Anolis sagrei: one gene and its partners. The protein of the gene in region 3 interacts with the protein of the main gene of each other region in a pairwise test. Links are inferred from orthologs where the notes say so. Each region holds a gene or a part of one and is shown on either strand. Other genes may lie near its edges. The genes, in order: PSME3, FTH1, NTAQ1 and NME1.

Region 1 (8,238 bases), on a different chromosome or scaffold from region 3:
CATAACCTTGAATCATGGCAATTAAAGTGGTGTCATACTGCATCAATTCTACAGTTTAGAAACACTCCTCTACCTGCACCCGGGAACACAACAATAGGAAAACCTTGAGGTAAAATCTGCCCCCTTAATTCAAACAGTAAGGCCCCTTCTACACTGCCATATAAAATCCAGATTATATGCTTTGAACTGGATTGGATGGCAGTGTAGACTCATATGATCTGGCCATGGTGGTCCACGCCTTAGTCACCTCCAGATTGGTTTACTGCAATGCACTCTACGTGGGGCTGCCCTTGAAGACAGCTCGGAAATTTTGACTGGTCCAACGGGCAGCAGCCAGATTACTAACTGGAGAGACTTACAGGGAGCGGTCAACCCCCTGTTTTAAGGAGCTCCATTGGCTGCCATTCACGTTCCCAGTCCCAATTCAAGGAGCATGTTCTCACCTACAAAGCCCTGAACGGTTTGGGACCCGCCTACCTGCGTGACCGCATTTGTTTACGAACCCATGCGATCTCTTCGATCATCTGGAGAGGCCATGCTCTCGCTTCCACCCTCTTCACAGTTGTGACTGGTGGAGATGAGGGAGAGGGCCTTCTCTATGGTGCCCCCCCCCCCCCGACTCTGGAACTCACTTTCCAAGGATATCAGACAAGCCCCTACACTGGCAGTCTTTAGGAGGAGCTTGAAAAAGTGGCTGTTCCAGTGTGCCTTCCCTGACTAAAGGAAACAATGCCCTGATCTAACTAATTTTCTGCAATATGTCCTCTGAAGCACTTTATCTACCTGTTGGATTGATCTCATCTGGAGAGGCCCTGCTCTCGCTCCCACCCCCTTCGCAGGTACGACTGGTGGGGATGAGGGAGAGGGCCTTCTCTATGGTGGCCCCCTGACTCTGGAAGTCGCTTTCCAAGGATATCAGACAAGCCCCTACATTGGCAGTCCTTAGAGCAGTGTTTCTCAACCTGGAGGTTGGGACCCCTGGAGGGGTCGTGAGGAGGTGTCAGAGGGGTCACCAAAGAACATCAGAAAACACAGTATTTTCTGTTGGTCATGGGGTTTCTGTGTGGGAAATTTGGCCCAATTCTGTCATTGGTGGGGTTCAGAATGCTCTCTGATTATAGGTGAACTATACATCCCAGTAACTACAACTCACAAGTGTCAATGTTTCTCTTCCCCAAACTCCACCAGTGTCCACATTTGGGCATATTAAGTATCTGTGTCAAGTTTGGTCCAGATCCATCATTGTTTGAGTCCACAGTGCTCTCTGGATGGAGATGAACCACAACTCCCAAACTCAAGGTCAATGCCCACCAAAACCTCCAGCATTTTCTGTTGGTCATGGGAGTGCTGTGTGCCAAGTTTGGTTCAATTCCACCATTGGTGGAGTTCAGAAGGCTCTTTGATTGTAGGTGAACTATAAATCCCAGCAACTACAACTCCCAAATGACAAAATCAATCCCCCCCCCCCAACCTCACCAGTATTCAAACTTGGGTGTACTGAGTATTTGTGCCAAATTGGTTCCAGTAAATGAAAATACATCAGATATTTGCATTACAACTGATATCTGTCGCAAAAAGGCAGTTATGAAGTAGCAATGAAAATGATTTGATAGTTGGGGGTCACCCCAACATGAGGAACTCTATTAAGGGGTCGTGGCAATAGAAAGGTTGAGAGCCAGTGCTTTAGGAGGAGCTTGAAAAAGTGGCTGTTCTAGTGTGCCTTCCCTGAATAAAGGAAATAATGCCCTGATCTAACTAATTTTCTGCAATATGTCCTCTGAAGCACTTTAACTATCCGTTGGATTGATCTCCCTACATTATCCTCTAAATCCCCCGTTTAGACATACCCTCATTCTATTCACGTCCAGTGTTGTAAAATGTTTAATCCACTGTGTTTTTAAATTTGTGTGTTACTGCTTATATGTTATTTATAATATTTGTATTGTGTTTTACTTGCTTGTTTGCTTTGTTGTTTTTACTGATGTATTTTGGTTGGGCTTGGCCTCATGTAAGCTGCCCCGAGTCCCCTTGGGGAGATGGTGGTGGGGTATAAATAATGTATTATTATTATTATTATGGAGCCCTCGGTGGCGCAGTAGGTTAATCCCCTGTGCTGGCAGGACTGAAGACCAACAGGTCGCAGGTTCGAATCCGGAGAGAGGTGGGTGAGCTCCCTCTATAAGCTCCAGCTCCTCATTCGGGGACATGAGAGAAGCCTCCCACAAAGATGGTAAAAACATCAAATCATCCGGGCGTCCCCTGGGCAACGTCCTTGCAGAAGGCCAATTCTCTCACACCAGAAGCGTCTTAATAGTTTCTCAAGTCGCTCCTGACACGACAAAAAATTATTATTATTATATGAACCAGTTTAAAGCAGATAATGTGGATTATCTGCTTTGATAATCTGGGTTATATGGCAGTGTAGAAGGGACCAGAGAAGGCCTTGTTAAACTACAACTCCATAGCATTGAGGCAGGAGAGTTAAAGTGGTGTCAAACTGCATTCACTCTGCAGTGCAGATGCACCAAAAGAGCATCATAATAATATCCCTAAACCACAGTTCATCAGATCAAAAGGGATTCCACAGGCTGCTCAGCGAGAGGAACTATTAGCTCAGGGCCCTTCCACACAACTATATATATATCCCAGAATATCTGCTTTGAAGTGGATTATCTGAGTCCACACTGCCACATATCCCAGTTCAAAGCAGATAAAAGTAGGGTTTTATTCAACTGTGCAGAAGGTGCCTCAGCTCCATGCAGCATCCAACTCGTCCTGGCCCTATTCGTCAGCCGCAGCCTGGCTGGGGAACGCCCAGCCGCCTCCCGGCGCTCTGCACATGCTTAAGGACACGGCCCGCCCGTGGCGGAAGCGGCTCTTCCCTTTCTCTCGTACCTTGATCTTCACTTCCGGGTCCACCTTGAGGAGGGAGGCCATGGCGGGGCGGGGGAGCCGGTTTCCCGAACCAGAGCCGTCTCTTGCTGTCCCGCGCGCGCGCGACCACCCAAGGAAACCACCGGCTTCGCCACTGCCGGATGTGACGGCATAACCTCCCCCCTCCCCCTCCTTCTTAGCCACCCCGCCTGGACCAATCACCGAACGCCTAGCCGGCCAACGTGATTCGCACGATGCCTTTTGTCGTCCGCCCCTCTTCCTTTAGAAGGCGCGTGCGCTGAAGGGGCAGCCAAGCCACTTCCGATTGTGTGGGCGGGGCCTCTGGAGAAACGAAGCCGGAGCACATAGAAACAGAAAGGAAAGACTGAAACATTGTTTGCGAGTTTCCGATACCATTTGGCATGTGGTTGGTGTCTGAAGGTGACTCTGAAGGATCTATAAAGTATCTCCAACGATTTTTGTCCCTGGGTTATAAATGTCATTTCCTAATTGGTTCTATCATAAAAATATGGAAATAGTTTATTAAACTGTCAAAATTTTGTTTTTGTCGGACATCCTGCAGCACATCTTGTAGTTTTTCAATGAATGTCTCATAGAGTTTCAACCAATTCAACAAAGGCCCTGTCCAAACAGCTTAATAATAATAATAATAATAATAATAATGGGTTGTTGTAGGTTTTTTCGGACTATATGGCCATGATCTGGAGGCATTTTGTCCTGACGTTTCGCCTGCATCTATGGCAAGCATCCTCAGAGGTAGTGAGGTCTGTTGGAACTAGGAAATGGGTTTATATATCTGTGGAATGACCAGGGTGGGACAAAGGAGTCTTGTCTGCTGGAGCTAGGTGTGAATGTTTCAACTGACCACCTTGATTAGCCTTTCCAGAATAGGAAAACTCCAATAACAAGTCCCAGAAACACTTTATTAGAATTAAGATTGCTGCACACTGCACTTACCCTATAATCCTTACATATCACCTGTCACACCAGCACTTTTTAATTCTGTACCCATTACTCTGGCCCGGCCCAGTTTTATTGTGTCTTGGTGTATTCTTTATTGCTTGTTGTTTAATATTGCTTTAATTGTTTTTAAATTGCTTAGGTTTTGTATTGTTATGTTGTGTTTTGAGGCCTTGGCCTTTGTAAACCGCTTCGAGTCCTTCGGGAGATGCTAGCAAGGTACAAATAAAGTTAATAATAATAATAATAATAATAATGGGCAGACAGTGCCTGGAGCAAACTTTTGTTGAGAGGTGATTATATGTCCTTGTTTGTTTCCTCTCTGTTGTTGTGCTGTTGCAATTTTAGAGTTTTTTTAAATATTGGTAGCCAGATTTTGTTCATTTTCATGGTTTCCTCCTTTCTGTTGAAATTGTCCACATGCTTGTGGATTTCAATGGCTTCTCTGTGTAGTCTGACATGGTGGTTGTTGGAGTGATCCAGCATTTCTGTGTTCTCAAATAAAATGCTGTGTCCAGGTTGGTTCATCAGGTGCTCTGCTATGGCTGAATTCTCAGGTTGGAGTAGTCTTCAGTGCCTTTCATATTCCTTGATTCGTGTTTGGGGAATGCTGCGTTTGGTGGTCCCTATGTAGACTTGTCCACAGCTGCATGGTACACAGAAACATCAGGAGATAATGCTTCTAGAGGAGGGGTCCTCAAACTTTTTAAACAGAGGGTCAGGTCACAGTCCCTCAAACTGTTGGAGGGTCAGATTATAATTTGAAAAAAGCATGAATGAATTCCTATGCACACTGCACATATCTTATTTGTAGTGCAAAAAACGCTTAAAACAATACAAGAATTGAAATGAAGAACAATTTTAACATACATAAACTTATTAGTATTTCAGTGGGAAGTGTGGGCCTGCTTTTGGCTGATTAGATAGGATTGTTGTTGTTGTTGTTGTTGTTGTTGTGTGCTTTCAAACGTTTCAGACTTAGGTTGACCCTGAGCGAGGGCCGGGTAAATGACTTTGGAGCGGTGAGGGAGGAAGGGGGCACCCGCCTAGGCAGCCAGATCAGCCAAATCAATCCTGGCGATCAATGGGGTGACAGATGTCGCAGCCAGATTGCCCTCACATCAACTTAGGTTGACCCTGAGCAAGGGCCAGGTAAATGACCTTGGAGGGCTGCATCCGGCCCTTGGGCCTTAGTTTGAGGACCCCTGCTCTAGACCATGGCTATATAACCCAAAAAAAAATAATAATCTACAACAACCCAGTGATTCCGGCCATGAAAGCCTTCAACAATACAATAATAATAATATAAACTTTATTTATACCCCGCCATCATCTCCCCAAGGGACTTGGAGCAGCTTACATGAGGCCAAGCTCAACAACACATCAATAAAAACAAAAAGCAATAAACAAAAAACAATAAGTACAATACAATTAATATAATAAATCTATATAAATAAAAATGTGATGTTTGTTTGTGGGATTAACAGAACTCAAAACCCACTGGGGGACTTGACACCAAATTTGGACACAAGACACCTAACAACCCAATGTATGTCCTTCACTCAAAAAATTGATTTTGTCATTTGGGAGTTGTAGTTGCTGGGATTTATAGTTCACTTACAATCAAAGAGCATTCTGAATCCCACCAACGATGGAATTGAACAAAAATTGGCACACAGAACTCCCATGACCGACAGAAAATACAGGAAGGGTTTGGTGGGTATTGACCTTGAGTTTGGGAGTTGTAGTTCATCTACATCCAGAGATCACTGTAGACTCAAACAATGATGGATCTGGACCAAACACTATACAAAGACTAAATATGCCCAAATGTGAACACCGGTGGGGTTTGGAGAAAATATAATCTTGACATTTGGAAGTTGTAGTTGCTGGGATTTATAGTTCACCTACCATCAGAGCATTGTGAACCCCACCAACGATAGAATTGTGCCAAACCTCCCACACAGAACCCCATGTGGGCCACAGCAATGTGTGGCAGGGGACGGCTAGTCACATATAAACAATAACCAATAAACAGTAACACACAAGGATTTAAAAACCTGTGGCCGGGCCAAATGTAATAGTTTAAAAATTTAAAAAATAAATGCTGGGCATGAACGAGGGAGGATATATTGGGTTCTAAAAGAGATGAGGGAGCGCAGTCAATCCTAAACCAGTAGTAAAGTGCATTCTGAGGACATATTGCTGGGAATTTTCTTTTCTGGGAAGGCACACTGGAACAGCCACGTTTTCAGGCTCCTCCTAAAGACTGCCAATGATGGGGCATGCCTGATGTCCTTGGGAAGTGAGTTCCAGAGTCGGGGGGCCACCACCGAGAAGGCCCTCTCCCTCGTCCCCACCAATCGCGCCTGCGAAGGGGGCAGGAGCAAGTGCAGGGCCTCTCCAGATGATTGAAGAGATCGTATGGGTTCATATACAGAAATGCGGTCATGGAAGTAGGCGGGTCCCAAACCGTTCAGGGCTTTGTAGGTAAGAACTTGCACCTTGAATTGGGACCAGAAAATAAATTATCTGCTTTGAGCTGGAATATATGGCGCTTCCAGGCGGGCCCTATATCCCAGGATCTGATGCCAGGTTTTCTGCTTTAAACTGGATTATGTCAGTCCGCACTGCCAGATAATCTGGGAGGGGTCTTCAAACTAAGGTCTGAGGGCCGGATATGGCTCTCCAAGGTAATTTACCCGGCCCTCGCTCAGGGTCATCCTAAAGCTGAACTGACTTGAAAGCACACAGCAATAATACTAACAATCCTATCTCATCAGCCAAAAGCGGGCCCACACTTCCCATTGAAATACTAATAAGTTTATATTTGTTACAATTGTTCTTCATTTTAATTATTGTATTTTTAAAGTATTTTTTGCGCTAAAAATAAGATATGTGCAGTGTGCATGGGAATTCATTCATGCTTTTTTCAAATTATAATCCGGCCCTCCAACAGTTTGAGGGACTGTGACCTGGCCCTCGGTTTTAAAAGTTTGAAGACCCCTGATCTGGGATAAAGGAAAACACTGCGAACACCAAGCACAAAGTAGTTACACACAGTACATCCTGCAGAAACTTATATCATCCCTGGCTCTGTCTTATTCAGCTGCCCTGTTTGGCACAACTCTGTCAACGCGAAGCAGGTGAATATAGCACTGAACAAAACATGTAGAATAATCACAGGGTGTCGTAAACCTACACCTGCTGATAGACTCTATAACAGTGTTTCTCAACCTTCCTAATGCCACAATGCCTTCATACAGTTCCTCATGTTGTGGTGACCCCCAGCCACAACATTATTTTCGTTGCTACTTCATAACTATAATTTTGCTCATTTTACGAATCGTAATGTAATACCTGATATGCAGGATGTATTTTCATTCACTGGACCAAATTTGGCACAAATACCCAATATGCCCAAATTTGAATACTGGTGGGGTTGGGGGGGGGGGTTGATTTTGTCATTTGGGAGTTGTAGTTGCTGGGATGTTAGTTCACCTCTTAGAGACCCTAAATTGGGTCTTCTTAGGTCCACATCACGGGAGCACGAAAGGAAGGAGACAGTCCCAAAAAAAGATCAAAGAACAAGGTTTTATTTTAGTTTCTTCATGAAGAAGACGGACAGCCTGACAGCATACGCAGTGACTGCCGCCTCTCCTTGGGTTTTTACCACCAATATATAACCTCAAGTAAATAAGAACATTTTTTGTCATGGAAAGTACTCTCTTTCCAGCCCCCTCCCTTGACCTTTTGATAGAAAGTACCTTCTTGTACCTGCAGACTCTGCGCTTCAAAAAACAACCTTTGAACTTAACCACAATACAACTTCCGACCTCTACATGTCACATCTTGTTTCTTAAAAACATTTTCTTCCGTGTTGCTCTTTTTCTACACAGAAAGGGTCTGTTTCTCTTTGGCTGTTAATTTCATTCAAAGCCCCTCGCTTAGCATCCTTCACACCTACAATCAAAGAGCATTCTGAACTCCACCAACAATGGAATTGAACCAAACTTGGAGCACATAACTCCCATGACCAACAGAAAATACTGGAAGGGTTTGGTGGACATTGACTTTGAGTTTTGGAGTTGTAGTTCACCTACATCTAGAGAGCACTGTGGACTCAAACAATGATGGATCTGGACCAAACTTGGCATGGATACTCAATATTATTTATTTATTTAAAACATTTATATTCCACCCTTCTCACCCCGAAGGGGACTCAGGGCGGAGCAATATGCTCAAATGTGAACACTGGTGGAGTTTGGGGAATATAGACCTTGTTATTTGGGAGTTGTGGTTGCTGGAATTTATAGTTCACCTACAATCAAAGTGCATTCTGAAACACCCTCGTTCTTGAAGGGTCCCTTGGCTGGTCATAGG
Region 2 (8,138 bases), on a different chromosome or scaffold from region 3:
CTCCCACGATTCCATAGCACTGAGTGATATCAAACTGCACTAAATCTACACTGTAGGTGCATCCTTAGAGGTGTTCACACAATTCCCTTCAAACATAGAAGATGAGAGAGGGTTGTGTCGAATAGCACCAGCCTCCTGCTGCCAATGCACATGCTAGCACCGTCCACATCTAATCTGCACATCTGGCACATACAAGGAGAGGTCTCTATATGTTAGAGTTCCTTCAAGTACGAGGAGATCAGGATGAGCCCAAGGCATTTCCTTATCTGAAGCAAACAATGTTCATTCCAAATTAAGATGGTAGTACTTGAGAAATTATGTTGGTAATTAACTCAGGCAAAAAAATCTCATGCCGTTTTTGATAACAAATACAATAAAAGAAACAATTATGTTCTGACAACCTGGCACAGACTTGGGTGCAAGATCCTGTCCCACTCTATGGAGTCTAGCCCAGAAGCTTTCACGTACATCATGTGATACAGAGGTTGCTGGGGGTGAAAAATGGACCTCAGAGCACTTGCAATGCCTAACAATGTTTTTGAGTCTTTTGGAATAGCGTTTTTCAGGCCAAAAGAGGAGAATTGCTGCTTCTGAAAGAGTTCAGGTACAACAGTTTACCTTCCAAACAGGTTACAAGGCACAGTAGAAAACAAAGACATAGCTGTGTTAATCTGGATTGGGTTGCTGTGAGTTTTCCAGGCTGTATGGCCAGGTTCCAGAAGCATTCTCTCCTGATGTTTCGCCCACATCTATGGCAGGCATCCTCAGAGGTCTGCTGGAAACTAGGCAAGTGAGGTATATATGTCTGTGAAATGTCCAGGATGGGAGAAAGAACTCTTGTCTGCTTGAGGCAAGTGTGAATGTTGCAATTGACCATATTTATTAGCATTTAATAGCCTTGCAGCTTCAAAACCTGGCTGGTTGCTGCCTGGGGATCCTTTGTTGGGAGGTGTTAGCTGGCCCTGATTGTTTCATGTCAGAAATTCCCCTGTTGTTTGAGATCATGAAAGCTTTCAACAACACATTAATCTGGACTATTAGTATTCCAGAGCAATACAGCTATGTGTTAGTTTTTTGTTATGTGATGAACATAACATATGTAGCTTTCCTGTCAATCTTGTCACATTTGCCTGACAAAAAAGGATTTCTCACTTGGGAACTTCCATTTCACAACTATGTGAGTGTGAGATTTTGAAACTTTGAAAATGTCAGGAAGGATAGAAAGAGATGCCCAGTTGCATAGTATGCCTCTCTGGAAAACATACTTTCTGGCACCCTTAAGCAAATGTATATATATGTATTTGGAAACATACATATATATTGAAATTCTTGGGCAGAGTGTGTAACTGGACCTCACAGATGCAGCTTGTTCATTCTGGCTTGCTGCCTACAATACAGACAATTAGGGCTGTGTATGCCACTGTTTACAGTCCTCCTATCGAGCAGCACACTACATTGCAATCCTATAAACAGGTTTTTAATCCTTTTTTGTGCGTGTTGCCAAATTCTGCTCCGTGATTATCTAACCTGCAAAACCCATAAACTCCTTTCCCTGCTACAAAGTAAAATGTAGTAACAAGCAATTTAATCAATAGTTGTAAAATTCAAAGAAGGACATTTGTAGTACAGATTGAGTATCCCTTATTCCAAATGCATGGAACCAGAAATGTTTTGGATTTTTTTGGGGGGGGGGGTGACAGACATGTATTTGCACATATCATCATTTGCACATATCATCTTAAAGAAAGAATATACATTTTATATATATCTTATACCCAAAGGTAATTTTATACACATACATTAGCGTACATAGCCACTGTTGCCCAGGTGTAGGAGGAGCTGGTGCCCCCTTGCTTTCATTCCTTTCCCTCCTCTCATAACTTTCCCACTTTTCTTTCGCTTCCTTCCTTCCCTCCTTTTCCTTTCTTCTCCCTCCCTCCCCCCTTCTCCTCTCTCTCTCTCTCTCTCTCCTCCCTTTGGTTCTCCTTCTCCAGCCTACCTCACAATGCTCCAGTGGCGACACAGCTGTCTTTATGGCTCCTTCCTTTCTTCCTCGCTGCCCCTCATATATGTCACCTTTCTTTCCCAGTGACATAACAAAGAGCCACTGAATTATCACTGAGCAACAGACCCTTCATACACGTTACCTTTCTTTCCCAGTGACATCCATGAGAGCCACCTAACTCAGCCAATCCAGTGATATCACAGAGGGCCACTTCACCTAGCAATGGCCTTTGTGGTACAAACAGACAAACATCCACATGTTGACTTTCATATATACAGTAGATAGATATTTTTAATAGCTTTGCTCATGAAACAAAGTGCATGTATGCTGAACCGTTAGAAAGCAAAGGTGTCACTATCTCAGCCCATCTCTGTGGACAAATTCAGATTTGGGAGAATTTGGGAATTTGGAATCCCAAATAAAGTGTGCGCAACCTGTAATAGCTAATACTGTATATTACTCCTTATCATTACAGAGCATGATCGGAAAATGGTGGAAGCATTTTCAGAAATCCATTCAGGATGCTCCTGGGAGCTCAATGGTTCAGTGGAGCCCAGAACTGAAAAACAATACTATAAAGCAGGCCTGGGCCAACTTGGGCCCTCCAGGTGTTTTGGACTCTAACTTCCGCCATTCCTAATAGCCTCAGGCCCCTTCCTTTCCCCCCTCAGCCGCTTAAATGGCTGAGGGGGAAAAAGAAAGGGCCTGAGGCTGTTAGCAATGGTGGGAGTTGGAGTCCAAAACACCTGAAGGGCTCAAGTTTGCTCATGCCTGCTATAAAGGAAATGTTACATTCCCTTGTATTTGTGTCACTCTTCTTTTGTGAATAAATATCAAAACAGAATAACATATTTTTGAGGTAATAAAAAAACACTTTTGATCCAGATGTACAAAAACACATCTTTTCTTGTGCTTCCAGTGGTCACTAAACGAATAAACAAATCCACACAAAGCAGGATGAAGTAAGCGAAATGTGGACTGCCACCAGCACACTGCCACACACTTTTGGGAAGACTGGATTTTGCTGGGTTTGCTAAAACAGGAGGCAACTTTATGTCAGTATATTTCCAGCCTCTGAGCAGGAATTTATCACTCACATCATCTGTAGTTACCTAACACACTGACTTCTGAAGTAATGTTATTGTGCCTTTAGGTGTTGCATTGTGCAGAAGTTTTCATCAGTGGCAATATAATTGGACAGCGTTTTCATCAGTTTCATAATTGGACAGCGTCACTCAATCAAAAGTGATTTGAGAACCAATTTATAAGAACATTAACATAAAGTAAAGGTAAAGGTTTCCTCTGACATTAAGTCTAGTTGTGTCCAACTCTGGGGGGTGGTGCTGATCTCCATTTCTAAGCTGAAGAGCTGGCACTGTCCGTAGACAACTCCAAGGTCATGAGGCCAGCATGACTGCATGGAGCGCCATTACAATCCTGAAAGTCAAAAATGTTCCACATTGGTGGTCCATTTTGCAGAACATGTCTTTCTTCTCTGTACAGGTTGCGAATCCCTCCTCTAAAATGCTTGGCATCAGAAGTGTTTTGGATTTTGGAATATCTGAATATACATATTCATGGAGATTGCATTCAAGTCTAAATCTGAAATTCATTTTTACTTGATTAAATAACTTATAATATTATTTCAGGAAAAATGTGGAGTGGGTGGAGGGAGGAGGGGTGGGAGTGAGAGGGTAGGGGAGGTGAAGAAGAGAGGGAATATATGTGTGTGTGTGTGTGTATATATATATATATATATTAAATTAAATTCATTTATTGTTTAAGTGCCTCGCGTTTCTGTTCTATATGCCTCACAAAGAATGCTGTGCTGGAAACAAAGTTTGCAAACATGGAACCATCAGGAAGCAAAGGTGTTGCTGTCTCAGGATGCATCTACACTATAGAAATAATGCAGTTTGACACCGCTTTAACTATCATGGCTCAAGGCGATGGAGTCATGAGAGGTGTTGTTTAACACAGTCTTTGGCTTTTCCTGCCAAAGAGCGCTTGGTGCCTCACTAAATCCCAGGATTCCATAGTATTGGGACATGGCAGTTAAAAGTGGTACCAAACTGCATTAATTTGACAGTGTAGATCAGGCATGGGCAAACTTGGGCCCTCCAGGTGTTTTGGACTCCAAGTCCAAGTTGTGGGACTTGGAGTCCAAAACACCTGGAGGGCCCAAGTTTGCCCACGCCTGGTGTAGACACATCCTAGAGCAGGCATGGGCAAACTTGGGCCTTCCAGGTATTTTGAACTTCAACTTCCACAATTCCTAACAGTGGCTGTTAGGAATTGTGGGAGTTGAAGTCCAAAACATGCCTGCTCTAGAGGAACATTTAAGGCATGTCTGAAGCGCTCTTCCTCCAAATCAACTTCTTCCGACGAAGCCTCGCAGGAATCAACAAGGCGCAAAACCTGCTGAGTCATGCTTACTCTGGAGGCGCGTGCCGGGATGTGTGTACGAGTGTGCGCGCGGGCGGGGCGAGGGAGGGAGGGAGGCAGGGAGCGAAGAGCGCGAGATCCTCAAGGAGAGCCTCGCGCCCGTCCCTTAGCGAGCCTCCATTTCTCCCCCCTCCCTCCCACCGAGCGGAGGGCGTGGCTTCCCTTAATCTCGGATTGTGACGCAGCTCGGGGCTATATATAGAGACGACGTCAAGGTGGCCGGGCCAGAACGCTCTGCGCGACCTAGCTGAGGAGGTTCCCGCTTCAACAGTGATTGGACGGAACCCACTCCCGCTCGGCCGCCGCCCGCTCGCTGCCTTCCTTTATCTATCTATATCCATCAATCGATCCATCCGCTCGCCTTTGTGCTGCCATGGCCTCGTCTCCTTCCCAGGTGCGCCAGAACTACCACCAGGACTGCGAAGCCGCCATCAACCGGCAGATCAACCTGGAGCTTTACGCTTCCTACGTGTACCTCAGCATGGTGAGCCCTGGGAAGGAGAGGGGCGCGTGCGTGTGCGCGTGCGGTGGGCAGGCCTCGAGAGAGAGAGAGCGGGAGAGCGCGCGCAATGGAGCGCTGGAGGGCCAAGGTCCTGCCGCCTCTTCCTCGGGTGCCGCGCATGCGCCTGGCGTGCCCTTGGGAGGCGCCTTCCCTCCTGGACTTCGCCCCGTCCTCTCCAGGAGGGATGGGAGTAAACAGCCACGGCTCCCAAAGAAATCTCGCCTTCTACTGCCTTTGAGGCCCGGATGGGGATGACACAAACCACTGATACGCATTAAGAGCGTTCTTTCGCATTATTTTGTGCGCGTTAAATGGTCAGTGTAGATAGGGCTTAGTCTAGCTGTGGATTCCCCCCATTCACATCCTTGAAGTTCTCCTGAGATAATAGTATGTCGAGGGTCTTAATAGCCAACCTGCAGAGTGTTTGGAAGAGAATAAAGTACACCTACAATGTGAAATTAATGCAGTTTACCGCCGCTTTTAATTACCATACCTTGTGCTATGGAATCCTGGGATTTGTAGTTTCCCAAGGGTTCTTAGCCTTCTCTGGCAAAGGGAAATTTGTCTCACCAAACTATCTCTCCCGGGATCCCATATCATTGAGCCATGGCAATTAAAGTAATGTTGAACAGCATTTATTGTACAGGTCAGATGCACCTTATGGAAGAACCCTGCCTTGCAATCAGTTTCCCCTCTCCCATTAGGATGGGTTAGGCAGCCACAATCCAGCTGCTCTCTCCAGAGATTTTTCCTGGTTGCTTTTTTGTGGCCAAATGCTGCAATGCAAAGAGGAACTGTCTTGTGATGAGCTTGCTTACTTCTCGAGTATTGCAAGATAACTGCGCCACTGGCACACTGCTTGCTGTTGAGTCTTTTTATTCCACTGGACTGTTTTGAGGTAACTGAAGAGTGGGGAGGGCCCCCTGGTGGCACAGCAGTTGAACTGCTGAGCTGAACTTGCTGACCAAAAGGTTGGCGGTTTGAATTGGGGGAGCGGGTTGAGGTCCAGCTGTTAGGCCCAGCTTCTGCCAACCTAGCAGTTTGAAAACATGCAAATGAGTAGAACGATAGATACCGCTTCTGTTGGAAGGTAATGGCACTCCATGCACTCATGCTGGCCACATGACCTTGGAGGTTTCTATGAACAACACCAGCTCTTCAGCTTAGAAATGGAGATGAGCATTCCCCCCCCTCCCCCTGCGGGGTCGGCCATGACTAGACTTAATGTCAGGTGAAACTTTTACCTTTACTAAAGCATGGGGAGGGAGAGTGTTTACACTTTTGTGGTGGGGACCTTGATAAGAATTGATATTGGCTCCTGTTTGCCATTTGCCGGCGCCTGTTTGTTTGCAGAAGCCCCAGTTCTTATCTCTCCAATAAAGAGTGATTGTACTTTAATTGACTTTGGACCTTTTCTCTGGAACATTTGTTTGCATTTGTTGCATTTGTTGACCGCCGTTCTCAGCCCTAGGGCGACTCATATAGCTTTCATATAGCTTGGTTGTTTTGAACACAGCTAAAGCCATTTCCCCAAGTTACTGTTAACTTATATGGTGTGTGGTTGTAAACCTATCAGCATAAATGTGGCAAACATATTTTGGCAGATGTATGTTAAAATGTATTTTTCCAAACACTGGAAGAGCTTACTGATCGAATCCACATATACTCATAAATTAGTTGACCATATGTGGAGAGAGGAAAATGCCAGCAGGGCTAGACGTTCCTGGCCAACTGCGGCCCCCATTTTCCCTTCAAAAAGGCCCTAAATTATACTATGGCTGAGAGAATAGAGGGGATCAATAGTTCCTTTAGGTTTTCCCAGGATAGACAAATAAATGCCCTTTTCCACTCTATTCAGAAAAGAGGATGTTTCCATTTCTTGCTTTTGATAAAGCTTTAAAGTATAATACTTTGACTCATGGATGGTGACCCAGATTTTTTTTTTGGGTTGACTTCTGAATAAATTTTCTAGACTCACATATGATTAAATGCAGTACTTGGAACTCAGTAGCTTTAAAAATGAATTTATTGACACTGGCTGTCAAGGGGTAGTCCAGCTCTTGTTGCTCTGGAGTTCTTTGTGATGTAACATTCACTGGAATACAGATTTCAATTTATGACTAATAGTCAAGGGGAATTGTAAGTGATATAACATACACTTATCTCAAAACCGTTTGTCTGGCAGATGGTTTCTAAAATGGAATGTGCTTCTCCAGCTCTCTTCAACCTGTTTTTGTGGCCTAAACTGTACATTTCACAGAGGTAGCAAGACTGATTAGAGCAGGGATGGAAAACTTTGGCCCTCCAGGTGTTTTAGACTTCAACTCCCAGAAATCCCAACCAGTTTACTGGCTGTTAGGAATTGTGGGAGTTGAAGTCCAAAACACATGGAGGACTGAAATTTCCCTGTGCCTGGATTAGAGGTTCAAAAACTCATCGAAGTAATGTAACAATTTGATACTTAAAATGAGTATTCAGAAATGTTTGATCGCTTGACTGTTGGCAATTTCTTTCCAAGCCAAAAATATCAGTATTGACTACCCTAACTTGCTGAGCTCTTAGAATTATTAAATCCCCTTTTTCTGTTTAAAGGGCAAACTCTCACCTTAGAGGCAAAGCAAGTTACCTTGTTCTCCCTGTTCTGAAGTGATTTTCAGAACTTACTTTCTAGGGGATCTACCAAAAGAAAAAATGACAATTAGACTTGTAACTTTGGTTCATCTAAAGGAGCACTGGGCAAAGTTGAAAGTTCCAGATATCTTTGGACTGCAGCAGTAATCATTCCTTACCATTTGTGGCACGGGTTGTTCTTAGTTCAAATCTATCAGTTTGTCCTCTTTTCCAAAGTCATAGTTCTGTATTTTGCATTAGAAAAAGATCATAGCAAGACCTAACACAGCCAGTTTGACAGGCTTGTTGTGCAGCAGTTGTATGAGACAGCAAATGGTAAGAAAATATATGACCAGATCAGTAGCAGAAAGTTCTGAATAGTTGCTGCAGATAGTTGGATCTGCTTCCTTGACAGTCCTAATCTAGAACTCCCTGCCTTCTTTTTCAGTCCTATTATTTTGACCGTGACGATGTGGCCCTGAAGAACTTTGCCAAGTACTTCCTGCACCAGTCCCACGAGGAGCGTGAGCATGCAGAGAAACTTATGAAGCTCCAAAACCATAGGGGTGGGCGCAT
Region 3 (7,846 bases):
CAACTAAGGAATAATGGCCATGATGACAGATAATCCTAGGAACTGTAATTCAAAAAGTAACATTTCCAAGCTTAGGGTAAAAACACTGTACTACTTAACAAACCAGGATCCAGCTTTTGTTTTTGATATTGTAAACTTCACATTGCTTTTCGGATTCAGTTCTGTACCACAACTCACCATCCTTCTATCATTAGAAATGAAAACAGCATAAAATTCTTCTAAAGGGTACTGATTCTGCCTCTGGATGTATTCACAAAGTTTCCACACATTTTCTTCACTGTAAAACAAAACAGAAACATCACATTCACATTTTTTTTCTTCTGACAATATAATTTTAATATTCAGTATGTTTACTTACATCAACTTCAAAGAGTCAGATTAAGGATTCTTACTCATATCCATTTCCATTTCTAAAAGTTTGGCCAAATCTCTTTTTAAAAGCTCTGTGAGCATGTACATGCACATGTTAGAACCAGAGTTGACTTTTGCTAAGATTTATACTTATCACATACACCACTGTATGGAAAATACAGTAGATATACAGAAGGCCAAGAACCAGCTGTCTCTTCTTACCCCACCCTATGCATTGGCTGAATTAAATACAAGGACACTACCAGCATTATGTAGTAATTTGAGTATTGGGACGAGAACACTGGGAGAGCAGGTTTGACCTGGAAACCCACTGACCACTAGCAAGCTTGATACGTTTTAATCATTTGAAAGATTACTTTAATTGATATGTATATTTATTACAATTTTATAATGTTATGTTTTACTGATACTGTTATTGCCTGAATCTGGCACTGAATTATTATCATAGTTTGTAAGCCGCCCTTAGCCCCCCTTCAGGGGTGAGATGGGTGGGTATAAGTACAGTAAATAAATAAGCTGTATCATCTCGGCTCAGGGGAAGGCAAAGGCAAGTTATCATCAGCACTTAATGAATTGGCATATCCTGTAGTAGTATTTAGATCGTGTAATGAATGCCTCTCATGCCACTTCAGAAATTCTCATCACAGAATCATAGAATCATAAAGTTGGAAGAGACCTAATGGGCCAGCCAGTCCAACCCCCTGCCAAGAAGCAGGAAAATTGTATTCAAAGCACCCCCAATATGGCCATCCATCTGTTTAAAAGCTTACAAAGAAGGAGCCTCCACCACACTCTGGGGCAGAGAGTTCCACTGCTGAACAACTCTCACAGTTAGGAAGTTCTTCCTAATGTTCATGTCGAATCCCCTTTCTTGTAGTTTGAAGCCATTGTTCTGAGTCCTTGTCTACAGGGCAGCAGAAAACAAGCTTGCTCCCTCCTCCCTATGACTTCCTCTTATGTATTTATACATGGCTATCATGTATAATCTCAGCTTTCTCTTCTTCAGGCTAAACATGCACAGCTCTTTAAGTCTCTCCTCATAGGGATTGCTCTCCAGACCCTTGATCATTTTAGTCACCCTCCTCTGGACACATTCCAGCTTGTCAATATCTCTCTTCAATTGTGGTGCCCAGAATTGAACACAATATTCCAGGTGTGGTCTGACCAAGGCAGAATAGAGGGGTAGCATGACTTCCCTGGATCTAGACACTATACTCCTATCGCTGCAGGCCAAAATCCCATTGGCTTTTTTTGCCACCACATCACATTGTTGGCTCATGTTTAACTTGTTGTCCACCAAGACCCCAAGATCATTTTCACATGTACTGCTCTGGAGTCACACATCCCCCATTCTGTATCTCTGCATTTCATTTTTTATGCCTAAGTGGAGTATCTTGCATTTGTCCCTGTTGAACTCCATTTTGTTAGTTTTGGCCAATCATCTCTCTAATTTGTTAAGATCGTTTTGAATTCTGCTCCTGTCTTCTGGACTACTGGCTATCCCTCCAAATTTGGTGTCATCATGGAGAAGCACCTAGATAACATAGGAATGTCAGTCACTTTATCTGTGTTGCCTAAACCATTACACTGAACATGAGTCAACAGCAGCAGCTTAAAAAAGCTCATACAATTCTAGGCAGCATCAATAGGGCAATACTGCACTTGAAGGATCTTGGTAGCCTCGGGTGCAATTGGGTGGGGATGTGTGGGTGGGGGTGTGTGTGGGTGGGGGTGTGTGTGTGTGGGGGGGGGAAGAGTTGAATAAAAATAAGGGGGCGGTGGAAGCACAAAGAATAAAGAGAATTTTGACAAAAATGTTCATAGTATCATCTGTTCTGTAACAGAATAAAAAATGTTGTGTTTACTTTATTTTCCAAATAGAATCATAAGTTGGAAGAGACCTCGTGGGCCATCCAGTCCAACCCCATTCTGCCAAGAAGCAGGAAAATCGCATTCAAAGCACCAACAGATGGCCATCCAGCCTCTGTTTAAAAGCCTCCAGAGAAGGAGCCTCCACCACACTCTGGGCAGAGAGTTCCACTGCTGAACAGCTCTCACAGTTAGTAAGTTCTTCCTCATGTTCAGATGGAATGTCCTTCCCTGTAGTTCAGTGGTTCTCAACCTTCCTAATGCCGTGACCCCTTAATACAGTTCCTCATGTTGTGGTGACCCTCAACCATAACAAAACTGTCATTTTGCTACCATTATGAATCGTCATAAATATCTGATATGCAGGATGTATTTTCATTCACTGGTCAAAATTTGGCACAAATACCTGATATGCCCAAATTTGAATATGCGTGGGGTTGGTTTTGCCATTTGGGGGTTGTAGTTGCTGGTATTTATAGTTCACCTACAATCAAAGAGCATTCTGAACTCCATCGATAGTGGAACTGAACGGAACTTGTCACACAGAACTCCCATGACCAACAGAAAATACTGGAAGGGTTTGGTGGGCATTGCCTTGAGTTTGGGAGTTGTAGTTCAAATACATCCAGAGAGCACTGTGGACTCAAACAGTGATGAATGTGAACCAAACTTGGCACAAATACTCAATATGCCCAAATGTGAAGTTTGGGGGGAAAATAGACCTTGTCATTTGGGTGTTGTAGTTGCTGGGATTTATAGTTCATCTACAATCAGAGTATTCTAGACCCCACCAACGATAGAATTGGGCCAAAACTTCCCACACAGAACCCTTATGACCAACAGAAAATACTGTGTTTTCTGATGGTCTTTGGCGACCCCTCTAACACTCCCTCACGACTCCCCCCCCAGGGGTCCCGACCCCCAGGTTGAGAAATGCTGCTGTAGTTTGAAGCCATTGTTCCGCATCCTAATCTCCAGGGCAGCAGAAAAAAAAGCTTCCTCCCACCTTCCAATGACTTCCCCTCACATCTTGATACATAGACCTCAGCATGTCTCCTCTCAGCCTTCTCTTCTGCAGGCTAAACATGCCCAGCTCTTTAAGCCACTCCTCATAGAGATTGTTCTCCAGACCCTTGATCATTTGAGTTGCCCTCCTCTGGTCAGATCTCAGCTTGTCAATAAAGACACGAGATGCATGTTATAATCTATGTGTTGATGTATGTACTGTATTTTGACTGTGTGGGACGGGCCTGTGTATTCCTGCATTGGCAGAATGGGGTTGGGAGTGATGAACGGCCTTTCTCTGGGGCCTCTTCCAAGCCTTACCAATAGCAGCTGGTGTAGACGCACCCAGGCCGGTCTGAGGCTGCGGGCCGGTAGGCAGGCGAGGCTGAGGCTGCTCCAAGCCCGAGAGCCTGCTGCTCCATCCGGGAACCCACGGGCCTGGCGATGGGGGAGGCTTGGGGGGCTCATTTCCCCAGGAAGGAAAGCTGGGCAGGAAGAGAGGAGCGAGCCGAAGAGGAACCGGAAGTGGCAGCCTGGCTTGGAAGGCGCGCGCCCCAAGCAGAGGAGAGGGAACGGGCGCCATAAACAATACCTTCCCCGGGAAACACGGCACAAGAAGTGGGGTTCCGGGTCACTGTGTTGCTTCTTGATTGAAAGCAAAAATTAAGGAAGGGAGGGAGGGAGGGAGGAAGAGTGCATATATGTATATATCATACTAGCTGTCCCCTGCCACGCGTTGCTGTGGCCCAGTCTGTTGATCTGGAAAATAAAGTAATGAGAAAGTGTTGGTTTCTAATATATTTAATTTTTATGCTTGTGGATAAACAGTATTTCTTGTTGTTTCTTTATCAGTGTTTATGTGGAGAGTGTCTGGTTTGCCTACTCTGGAACATGCAAGATATCATTGTCCTTCTTTAAGGGTCCCTTTCAAATCTATGATACTATATCTCTCTGTGTGTGAATCATCTCTCTCTCTCTCTCTCTCTCTCTCTCTATGGCTGGATGGCTCTTTGTCAGGAGGACTCTGATTACGTTTTCTTGCCCTGATGAAGGGAGTTGGATTGGATGGCCTTAAGTATTTTCTGTTGGTCATGGGGGTTCTGTGTGGGAAGTTTGCCCCGATTCTGTTGTTTGTGGGGTTCAGAATGCTCTTTGATTGTAGGTGAACTGTGAATCCCAGTGACTACAACTCCCAAATGTCAAGGTCTATGTCCCCCAAACTCCATCTATGTTCATATTTGGGTATATTGAGTGCTTGTGCCAAGTTTGGTCTAGATCCATCATTGTTTGAGTCCACAGTGCTGTCTGGATGTGGGTGAACTACAACTCCCAAACTCAAGGTCAATGCCCACCAAACTCTTCCAGTATTTTCTGTTGATCATGGGAGTTCTATGTGCCAAGTTTGGTTCAATTCCATCATTGGTGAAGTTCAGAATGCTCTTTGATTGTAAGTAAACTATAAATCCCAGCAACTACAACTCCCAAATGACAAAATCATAAATTTTTGAGTGATGGTCACTCCTTGTGTTGTGAGACGTTTTGTTGCCAAATTTGGTGTGATTTCGTTCATTGGTTCTTTTGTTTTTAAGGTACTCATTATGCACAGAGCATTTATATATAGATAGATAGATAGGATTCATCATATGTCATATGTAATGGGATAAAGGAATGGGAAAGGTTTCACCAGCTTAAGGCTGGCAATCTAACATCCATATCCTCTTCTATATAAATAAAAATGTAATGTTTGTTTGTGGGATTAATATAACTCAAAAACCACTGGACGAATTGCCGCCAAATTTGGCCACAAGACACTTACTAACCCAAGGAGTGATCATCACTCATCCTCACTACCTCTGAGGATGCTTGCCATAGATGCAGGCGAAACGTCAGGAGAGAATGCCTCTCTAGACCATGGCCATATAGCCTGAAAAAACCTACAACAACCCACTCAAAAATTGATTTTGTCATTTGTGGGTTGTAGTTGTTGGGATTTATAGTTCACCTACAATCAAAGAGCATTCTGAACTCCATGAAAGATAGAATTGGGGCAAACTTCCCACACAGAACCCCTATGACTAATAGAAAATACTTAAGGCCATCCAGTCCAACTCCCTTCACCAGGGTAAGAAAACGTAATCACAGCCCTCCTGACAAAGAGCCATCCAGCCATAGATATAGATAGATATATACGATTTACACACAGAGAGAGATATAGTATCATGGATTTGAGAGGGACACCTAAAGAAGGACAATGATATGTTGCATGTTCCAGAGTAGGCAAAACAGACAATCTCTACATCAACACTGACAAAGAAACAGTAAGAAATACTGTTTACCCATAAGCATAAAGAAATTACATAGATTAGAAACCAACACTTTCTCATTACTTTATTTTCCAGATCACCAGACTGGGCCACAGCAACGCATGGCAGGGGACGGCTAGTCTATATAATAGAATGTTTGTTTGTGGGATTAACATAACTCAAAAACCACTGGGTGAATTGACATCCAATTTGGACACAAGACACCTATCAGACCAATGAGTGACCATCACTCATAAAAACATGGAAAAACACAGCAGAAGACACTTAAAAAGCCAAAAAACACAAAATACATTCCAACTCATGTGCAAAACCATATATATATACACACATATATACAAATATATACACACCCAGAGAGGAAGGGAAAGAAGGGGAGAAAGAAAGGAGAGAAAGAGGGGGGGGGGGGTAGTTGGCCACAGCAACGTGTGGCCGATACATCTAGTATCTATATAAATTAAATTTTAATGTTCATTTGTGGGATTAACATAACTCGAAAACCACTGGGCGAATTGACACCAAATTTGGACGCAATACACCTATCAGCCCAACAAGTGACCATCACTCATAAAAACACTGAAAAACACAGCGGGAGATACTTAAAAAGCCAAAAAATAAAAGTTACATTACAATGCATTCGCAAAACCACATATATACACATATCTCATAGTTTGTGGCAGCCACAAATACAAAGTTTCTGGAGTGTAGCAACTTCTTTCAAAGGATCACACAATTAAACAGGAAGTAACATTTTCAATTCAGGAACACTTTTTTTCAAATTTTGTTACATAGTGTAATTTTACTTTTTAGTTAGCATTCCTTGTGCCTGGAGGTGGATTCCAGCATTGTTAAAAAACACATAAACATTGTAAAAATTCTATAAAAAGGTAAAGGTTTCTTTTGATATTAAGTCTAGTTGTGTCTGACTCCGGGAGGTGGTGCTTGTCTCCATTTCTAAACCAAAGAGCCGATATTGTCCGTAGACGCATCGCAGGTCATGTGGCCAGGATGACTGCATGGAGCGCCATTACCTTCTCACAGAAGCAGTACCTATTAATCTACTCACTCTTGCTGGGCCTAACGGGGAGTTCACTCTGCTCCTCATTTGAAATGCCGACCTTTTGGTCAGCAAGTTCAGCAAATCAGCGGTTTAACCCACCAGGGAGCAGGTATTCTATAAATACAAATTAAAATGTATTTCTATAAAAGATGCATATTAAATTGCACTTCTATAAAATACATATTGAAATACACAGAGCAAAGATTAAAATAATATGTAACATATATACCTGGGAAAAGCTAGTTTTACCAGCTTTTCTTCTCTGCCAAACTACAAATCCCAGTATCCCACAGGATTGAGCCAGGGCAGTTAATTAGAGTGGTGTCAAACTGTATTAATTCCATAGTATATAGATGTACCCTGAGAGATAGCATCCTGGGAGTTGCAGTTTGGTGAGGCAGCAGCACTCTCTGATCAAACAGGTGAAGCTTTTCCTTGAAGAAATGTTGAGGAAAGTCCCACCTCTTGGTGAAGTTGCAAGGATTTTAATGGTCTCCAAAGGGGAAGTGACTTGTGGAAGAGAGAGCTGGCTTTCCTTCTGGTAACATTACAGACTCTGCAACTGCTTTGAAGTATTCCTGGACAGAGGTAAATTTATCTTAAGAATAGCTTTCCATAATAATAATAATAATAATAATAATAATAATAATAATAATAATAACAACAACAATAATAATTCCCTCAGTAATAACCAGCAACCCAATAATAGCCAGCCTTTTGGAGACTTTACAGACTCTGCAACCACTTTGAAGCACTCCTGGACCAAGGTGAACATACCTATAAGAATGGCTAATAATAATAGCTAATAATAATAATAATAATAATAATAATAATAATAATAGCTATATGATTTGGGAACAGGAATGAGTTCTGCATAAGGGTTTTAGGGAAACTAATACCCAAGAAATAATTTCTGCCACTTTCTTCCTCTGAAATATAGACTCCTGTAACCTAGTAATAGTTGGGGTCTGAATCCTGGAGAAAGGCAGGTTATTAAATCTAATAAATAAATAGTTGTTGAATGCTTTCATTGCCAAAATCACTGGCTTGCTGTGAGTTTTCCAGGCTCTTCTGATGTTTCACCACTATCTATGGCAGGTATCCGCAGAGGTTGTGAGATCTGTTGAAAACAAGGCAAGTGAGGTTTATTTTGGGAATTTGTATCCTGCCCTATCTCCGCAGAGGGACTCAGGGCGGCTAACGTATCTCCCTCTACGTC
Region 4 (8,290 bases), on a different chromosome or scaffold from region 3:
AGTTCAAAAAGCCTGATAAATCAAAAGAGTTACTAAGTGCAGAAACACATTCAAATCTCACAGAAACAGATTAACTCTCTGACCTCAGTAATAACATATCTATGTGCTTTAGTCCCTCTCTTTTACCATCACAAACCAGTTAGCCATATTGTGGTCACTCATATCTGTGGTGAATTATCACAGATGGACACACGTGCATCTGAAGAAGTAGATAGACTATCTCTTCACACGGCTCTTTTGGTCCGTGCCGTTGTGCCAGCAATTGCCAGCAAAAGAAAGGCGCGTGGGGCAGCTCATTAGGTGAGACGAAGGGTGGCCTCCTCCACCTTTTCCCCCTATCAAAAAGGGAAAGGGGAGGAAAGTCCGGGTACCTCCATCAGAGCTACCCAAACTACTTTCCTCCCCAGAATGGAGGAGGAAGCGTCTTTTGGTGCTTCCACTCCATTTCAGGAGGAATATGGGCAGGGACTGCCATGCTTTGCCCGATGGCACATGACAGGCCCTGTCCTTGCCACGCAACAAAGAGCTTTTTCGTCTATTAAAGCTATGCTTTGTTGCTGTTGTGTTATCAAATCATTTCTGAGAACTGTTGACCCTGAGGCGACTAGAGACTAACTGGGGCTGCTCCGTTAGTCTCTAAAATACTACAAGATTCCAGACTGGCATGGCTATGTCTTTGAATTCTACAGACAGGCTATTAGAACTAAAAGATATTGGCATGGGTATTTCTCAGCAGATAGTTTAACCTTCCTGCCTTTGACAACCAGAGCATTAGAGCTTGGAAAATCACTTACAAGAGAAAGCAGCTATTCCTGTAGTTCTTACTGGCAGAATCTGTCCCTACCAACAAATACCAGATGATGTAGGCAAATTTCAGTAGAAGAAATTGGTGAAGCCATCTCTGAATATTCTTTGCCTGAGAAAATCCTATGGAATTAAGGGGATTGCCATAAATTGGCAGGCAATTTGAATGCATATGCGTGCACACACACACACATATAAGTCAAGTATAATCTAGATAACTTGCCTCATTCTAAAACTTTCAGTAAGCGTATATATGAAGACTTACCATGGCTACAACAGGTCCAGAGTGCATATATCTAACTAAACCAGCATAGAATGGCCTATCTTTCAGGTCAATGTAGTGTTCTCTCAGGAGATCTTCAGAGGCCTGCAGGAACAAAATGCTTAGCATAAGAACTTAAGAGCATCTTATGTCACATAACATTAGCCACAGGGGCAGTGTTAATCCTTAAATTGCATGCATCCTTTTCAAAGACTGGTCCCAGCACTGTATTAGAAGAGGGGCTACCCAATACCAGTCCGAAATATTTATTTTGGTTTGTTTGTCCATATGTTTTCTGCTGACACCAGTTTACTGATTTTTGCAGCTCCAAGAACAGCCAAAGCTTTAAGTTTAAAATCTACGTTGGAGGACTCACCTTTCAGACTAAGGCCACCACTTACTAAAATTAGAGTACTCAGCGTGGCTTTATCATCTGCCAGGTATTGGAAAGATTCCAAAATATAAGGCTATCTCGGAGAAGGATGGATTTATTTGCTTGAATTGGTGAACCAATGAGCATTTTAATGACCTTTGATATTTTCAGAATCTCAAAAGTGGCTTACAGTGAAAATGAGAGAATAAAACCAACTACTAGAAACAATAAAATAAATAAAGTCAAAACAATAAAATAGTTAATTAAAAAGAATTAATTGAAAAGTGGAAGAAATTAGCAATGTTAAGTGCTGCATAAATGATCAGGAAACTTTATGGGCAAACAAGTATTTCTAATGAGAATAATAGACTATCTGACTAGAAGTGACAGAAACAAAGACAACTTACATGCATGAATTTCATGGCTACCAGTTTGAATCCCTTCTGTTCAAATCGCTTGATAATGTCTCCAACCAAGCCTCGCTGCACTCCATCAGGCTTGATAGCTATGAAAGTGCGTTCACTCATTGTTCTACTGCAATAGAAAGCAAGGATTAATCCGGCTACATGTCTCGATGGTACGAACACAGTCTGCCGCAGCACTATGGTATAGTATTACACTGAGAACCATCAGTGGAATGGTTTAGGTACAAGTGTATACAGAATATTCAAATCAAAATTATACCAAATGCATACAATGTTTGGAAGATGAATAATTTGAAGATTATATCATCATCATCTTGCTATACAATCACTTGCATGAGAAAATATACTTTTATTTATTTATTTACTTACTTACTTACTTACATTTTATCCTGCCTTTCTCCCTATATAGGGACCCAAGGCAGCCAATAATAAACAACATGCCACAATTAAAACCATAATAATGACATCTTTTGTGCAATGAAGCATAAAAGTGTAAAAACTACATTTTAAAACGACACAAGCCCCCAAATACAGCTCCCAGCATCCCAGTTATATAAATAATTATGTAAATTAAGAGGTACATCGTAATAGAGATCTAGCAATAAATAATCTGAAACAATTATTCAATAATCCTAATTTAGATATCGGGAACAATCAATAGGTTCATATAATAACATTATGAGAAATTAAGAGAAAACTATGATATCCAAAAGTTGTTCCCCTACAGGATCAAAGATACCGACTATAGTTCATGAGTCAAAATGTAATAACTTTATTTCATTTTTCACATAGTCCCAAAGTAATTACATAAGACAATGCTTCGGAATAGATTATTATATTTTATATATTCCACTGTCCTCATACCCTGTTTCTAAACAAATTCATTTTGAACATTCTGCTGATTTAATTTAAACTTATTTTGGTGAAGTGTGTTTAGGAACAGAGCATTATAAAAATAGGAATTATGTTATTATAAACTGTACTTGCCATATCATATGATCAGTTTATCTCACTAAATTCGATCACTCGTCAGACCTCAAATGGCTGTACAGAACGGAACATGCTTCCACTCCTCCTACAGCTTCAACACCAATGATCTTGGGTAGTCATATAATATTTCATCTGACATTTCTCAGAGCATATTCCTCAAATACCTATGTGCTTTTGACATTTTTTCTGCCTATAGAAAATCCAGCCAAATGTTGAGTCCCTAAGCACTCCTATTGATAAGCTTCTACTACTTTTTCTATAGCTTCTCCATGCCTTGTTACCAGAAACACCTTAGGATCCCCTCAGCATCCATCCATCATACCTGCTACAAAGCTGCTGCTCCTGCTGCTCCTGCTGCTTCTGCTGAGCTGCTTCTGTTGGCGGCTGTGGTAGGGTTATTGCAGCCCCCAGCCTGGCGAAAGCCCAGCCTCACAGCTGGACTCTTTTGGAGAGAAGGCTGGACCCCACGTGTCCATTAGCCGGCTGCTTTGGTGTCATCTCTTCTTTGGGGGTTTTGCCAAATGTAGGGCTAACTTCTTGACTCAGTGGACGCCATCTGCTGTTGCTTTTAAGGACAGCTGTGTACATTTCTATGTAACAGACATTCAGGCTGCTCATTTGCCCACCAAAATCAACAAGGTCTGTAGAATTAAGGCAGTTTGACACAATTTTAACTCCCATGGCTCAGTAATGTGGAACTATGGGATTTGTAGTTTGATGAGACATTTACATTCTTTAGCAGAGAAAGCATAAGACCATAGAAAACTACAAATCCTATGATCTCACAGTATTGTGCCATGGCAGTTAAAGTTGTGTCAAACTGCATTCATTCTACAGTGTAGATACACCCAAAGATTAATCAGTGATGCAATGGGACAAGTGTTGCTGCTGCTAAAGATAGCTATCTGTAGCCATTTGTGGTGGTTCTGTGCTTTCAAGTCAACTCTGACATATGGCAACCCATCTGAGAGTTTTTCTAGCAACGTTTAATAAGAAAAGAATACATACATCAGAAGGTTACTCAGTGAAGTTCATGGCTCAGTAACATCTTGCAGCTGGACCTTCCAAATTTTAGACCAACATTCTTAACTTGTACAAAAAATAGCCTCTCAGTTTTTAAAAAAATGCATATCTATATAAATAAAAATGTAATGTTTGTTTGTGGGATTAACAGAACTCAAAAACAAGTGGGAGAATTGACACCAAATTTGGACAGCATACACCTAACAACCCAATGCATGTCCTTTACTCAATATTTTTATTTTGTCATTTGGGAGTTGTAGTTCTTGGGATTTATATTTCACCTACAATCAAAGAGCATTCTGAACTCCACCAATGATGGAATTGAACCAAAGAAACAACAAGAAATACTGTTTACCCACAAGCATAAAGAAATTACATAGATTAGAAACCATTACTTTATTTTCCAGATCACCAGACTGGGCCACAGCAACGCCTGGCAGGGGACGGCTAGTCATTAATATAATTTCAGTCTCCTCACTTTTCTTATCCCTTTTCCACATTCTTTTTATAATATTTATTTATACATCAGCCTGTTGATATTTGTCTTTTAATCCTCTCACTGGATTGATCCTCTGCCTTTTTTTCTTCCTGTGAACACTCTTGATCCTTTTATCCTTTGCCCTTTAACGCCCCAGTTGCTAGTGCCAGCATAAGTTCAAAGTGGCTGTGTCTGCTAATACAAATCACTCTATAAAGTGTTTGTGTGTGTATGTGTGGATATTTATCGTACCTACAGTATTTGCGTGTCTCTTTCATTCTACCACTAAAACAATTATGAACATTAGTTGTGTATTTCTCCAGGCCACAACTGTCTCTTCACCTTTTTTAAAGGCATGCAGCAAAATAAGAACCATCTCTCATTTGGATCTTATTCTGCAAGCTGGTTGAGAGATGTTCTCCATCGATAACTCATCACTTCTGACAAGTAACTTTTTCTCAGCATTTCCCATTAATAAAATATTGCTGCTTAAGGTCATACTAGATAAACAATAAAATATGAATCTAACATGTCGGTGGAATATGCTTTCTAGGAGTGTGATGGAATTTCCTTCTCTTGAGAGGTTTAAACACAAACCGGATGGCCATCTGTCATTAGTGCTTTGATTGTGTCTTTCTGCAAAGCAGAGGGTTGGACTGGATGGTCCTTCCTTCTGGTCTTAAAACTCTATGATTGACAAACAACATTTTTGGAAAAAAGACTGGGGGAGTTAGCAATTAACTCACAAAGAGGCCTTCACAAAGATGTTGAGAGTAAACCCCTTTTCTCTGCACTTGTTAGCATCTGTGTATTGGGGCATCGCTGTCAGAAGAGCTTCAAAGATAAGTCAAATTTAGACTAGGACTGCAGATATAGAGGGTCCATGCCTGGCAAGCATTTACACTAAAACCTGAAGTTCCCAATTGAAGAACACACTGACAAAGTGAAGACAGCCACAGAGTTTTATTAGCAATCAGGCCACTAGGGCTGATGCCAAAATGTACAAGCATAACATGCAATACAGAGACATGAGTTTTTATACAGTTGACAGCTATTCAGACTTCCCGCTCTGTCTGCTCCCCTTCCTGATTGGTCAGCAGAGAGGACAGTCTAAATTAGTGTTCTGATTGGCTGGCACTTCTGTGACATTTCTGCCTCTAGTCAGAGACTCTCTGGTGGGGGGGGGGGGGAGAAAATTATGGGGCCTGGCTTGGGGAGAGCCAATCAGCTTTTGGGTGGGTGAGTGGCTCTCCCAGAGGGAGTCAAGCCCCAGAAAGTTAATTGTCCATATCAGGAAATGTAAATGAGTCCTTGAATGAGGAAGTTTTCTGGGAAAAACAGGGGCAAAGGGTCTTGAGACAAAAGGTGATGATCTTCCGTAATCAGGCCTTGGGTGTCAAATAAAGGAATTCAAATGAGTATACATACTTTGAGTCCCTGTTTCCATGGCCAACCATCTCTTAGCCTGATGGAGACAATCAGCTGGACAGGTATCAGCTGACAATATCAGATCAAGAGCAGAAACTGGCTTCTGATTGACATGTGTACACAATGCCTCTCAATTGTCATCTTTGTCTAGTGATTTTGGCCAACCACAGATGTCCTATGCTGACACCCTCATCAATTGATTTTGCATCTTCATGGATACTTAATGCTATTTAAGCTTGCTGATTGCAACATTCACACTTGCTTAACACAGACAAGGGTTTTTTCTCCCACCTTGGACAGGACATTCCACAGACACACACACACTTCATTTACCTCACTTCCAACGGACCTCTGAAAATGCCAGCCACAGATGTGAGCCAAACGTCAGGAAAGAATGCTACTGGCACATGGCCATACAGCCTGAAAAACTCACAGCAACCCATTGAAGAGTATGTCAGTGAAAATTGTTCACAATTAGAACTCTTACGTTTGTTCTATTTTACATTTTGTTGGTAGCTTGTTGGTACCCTGCCCCTTTTCCTTGGACACCTAAATTGTACTTCCTAATTAGGGGGGGAAATATGTAGGCTATCATTCACATGCAGGCCCTCTGAATGTGACTTACAGGCAGAGGCAGCCCTAGATAATTTTCAACGGTAAGCAAATAGTATTTTGCCCCCCCCCCCCCCCAACCAATCACTGATATATATTTTCTGTTCGTCGTGGGAGTTCTGTGTGCCATATTTGGTTCAATTCTATCATTGGTGGAGTTCAGAATGCTCTTTGATTGTAGGTGAACTATACATCCCAGTAACTACAACTCACATATGTCAAGGTCTATTTTCCCCGAAGAGCGCCTCAAGAGCGCCCCTGGGCAAAATCAACTATACTGCAAATGCTTACTTTGCGTAATGGGTTGAGCCGCCCCTGCTTACAGGACCACCCTCCAGGGGCCCACCAAAGCTTTCCAACATTTTTTAAAACTCTAGTGAATTGGGGGTGCTTTTAAACCCCCAAACCTTGTATTTAAAATTCTATTTCACCCTCATTCATAGGGATTTTATCCTGCACTACTTTTAATGTATTTTTCCACTCTGGAATATTGATATATTTAGAAAGGGGAGAGCCCCCTTTGTCCATTTTTGCTCACTAGACTTCCACATCTCTAATTGGTTTGAAAAGCATGCAGCTTTGTAATTAATTTTAAAAAGCAGTGTTGCAAATCAATATGAGGTTTTATGTGTAACAACTTATTATGAGACCAGCACCAAGAAGTAGATGGAAGTCAACATGTGTGTGTGTGTGTATATATATATATTCTATTTTGTATTTCTCCCCCCCCCCCTTTTCTTTTTTCTCCCTTTTTTCTCTTTTTTCTTTTCTTCTTCTTTTCTTTTCTACTTCTTTTTTCTTGTTACCTTATGTATGGTGTTTTTATTCTTGTTTACTTCTGTGGATTATAACTTATTGTATGTCTTCAATAAAAATTTATTGCAAAATGAAAAAAAGAGGTATAGTACCCTGCAGATAGTTCATCTGGAAGAGAACATTCCCATCCCTTTTAAAGAATATTTTTTTCTTACAGCCCTGTCTTTGCAGCAATTAATAGTTTTTTGCCTCCTGTGTCAAAGACAGCAGTAAAATAGGATTAGAGTGTGACCTGTTCCCGACTTATACTCGCCTGGGTGGCACAGGGCTGCCTTACTCAAATCTCTTTGAACTGAGACATCAAACCTGTGACCTCTCCAACATAGGTCTGTACTGTTCCACTGAGTTGCGGTTTGATAACCCCTGAAGGCTGGGTTCTCTAGATTCTCCTCACAGAGTCTCTCTCATCTGTATGTATCTGTGAGTGATGCGTCACAGACCAGGCATCTGGCAGAGTAAAAGGACCACATGAGACCTCTCCCTTCTATCTGTGGTAAAGCACATGGTCTGTGCTGTAAGAGCTTTGCTGCCTTTTAAAAACTGCATTGTTGTCATTTGAAAGGACATCCAAGTGGTGAGATTTTTTCCATTATTTTTGGCCAAAGTCTAATCCTATTTTACTGCTGTCTTTGACACAGGAGGCAAAAAACTATTAATTGCTGCAAAGACAGGGCTGTAACTTTGGCCAAAAGTCAGAGAAGTGTGTTTCTCTTCTCTGAAAATCCAAGCCAGAATTACCAGCAGAGTAGAGTGTGTTCTCTAGATCAAGCAGTTCAAGAGCTACACAAAAGTGATAAATCAAAGGAGTCCATCAGGGAAAGTTCAAGAGAGTAGTCTACAAAGAAGCAAATATTAGGTCACATGGGAAAAATTAGTCAAAGATTTAGAGCTGGGTTGTTGCTGCCACCATGAAGGTCAGTTGACAACAACAACAAAAAAGGTTACATACAGCTGGAATTTATAGTCCAGCAGCAGATTGTAGCTGTGTGTTCCAGTTGCCAAGTGTTTCTGGTAAAAGTGTTGAGATCTTATATTCACTCTTTCTTGTCTTCTTTCCACAAAGTTTGCTACCTCTGTGA

Evidence for each region.
Region 1: the proteins of NTAQ1 (region 3) and PSME3 interact in binary tests that used the Homo sapiens proteins (3 or more experiments, as listed by UniProt). The two-hybrid records come from large-scale screens. The link is inferred for Anolis sagrei from reciprocal best matches to the Homo sapiens genes NTAQ1 and PSME3.
Region 2: the proteins of NTAQ1 (region 3) and FTH1 interact in a two-hybrid assay, tested with the Homo sapiens proteins (2 studies listed by BioGRID and IntAct). The two-hybrid records come from large-scale screens. The link is inferred for Anolis sagrei from reciprocal best matches to the Homo sapiens genes NTAQ1 and FTH1.
Region 4: the proteins of NTAQ1 (region 3) and NME1 interact in binary tests that used the Homo sapiens proteins (3 or more experiments, as listed by UniProt). The two-hybrid records come from large-scale screens. The link is inferred for Anolis sagrei from reciprocal best matches to the Homo sapiens genes NTAQ1 and NME1.

Annotation. Positions count from the first base shown.
Region 1 is NC_090026.1:50,212,958-50,221,195, forward strand, and holds the start of PSME3 (proteasome activator complex subunit 3), read right to left. Parts: upstream 3,146-8,238; 5' UTR 2,938-3,145; coding exon 2,896-2,937; intron 1-2,895. UniProt on the Homo sapiens protein: Subunit of the 11S REG-gamma (also called PA28-gamma) proteasome regulator, a doughnut-shaped homoheptamer which associates with the proteasome. 11S REG-gamma activates the trypsin-like catalytic subunit of the proteasome but inhibits the chymotrypsin-like and postglutamyl-preferring (PGPH) subunits.
Region 2 is NC_090021.1:237,529,570-237,537,707, reverse strand, and holds the start of FTH1 (ferritin heavy chain), read left to right. Parts: upstream 1-4,658; 5' UTR 4,659-4,823; coding exon 4,824-4,934; intron 4,935-8,010; coding exon 8,011-8,138. UniProt on the Homo sapiens protein: Stores iron in a soluble, non-toxic, readily available form. Important for iron homeostasis. Has ferroxidase activity. Iron is taken up in the ferrous form and deposited as ferric hydroxides after oxidation. Also plays a role in delivery of iron to cells.
Region 3 is NC_090024.1:20,445,305-20,453,150, forward strand, and holds the start of NTAQ1 (protein N-terminal glutamine amidohydrolase), read right to left. Parts: upstream 3,796-7,846; 5' UTR 3,669-3,795; coding exon 3,568-3,668; intron 278-3,567; coding exon 178-277; intron 1-177. UniProt on the Homo sapiens protein: Mediates the side-chain deamidation of N-terminal glutamine residues to glutamate, an important step in N-end rule pathway of protein degradation.
Region 4 is NC_090022.1:114,433,170-114,441,459, forward strand, and holds the start of NME1 (nucleoside diphosphate kinase A), read right to left. Parts: upstream 3,433-8,290; 5' UTR 3,177-3,432; intron 1,974-3,176; 5' UTR 1,967-1,973; coding exon 1,847-1,966; intron 1,172-1,846; coding exon 1,070-1,171; intron 1-1,069. UniProt on the Homo sapiens protein: Major role in the synthesis of nucleoside triphosphates other than ATP. The ATP gamma phosphate is transferred to the NDP beta phosphate via a ping-pong mechanism, using a phosphorylated active-site intermediate.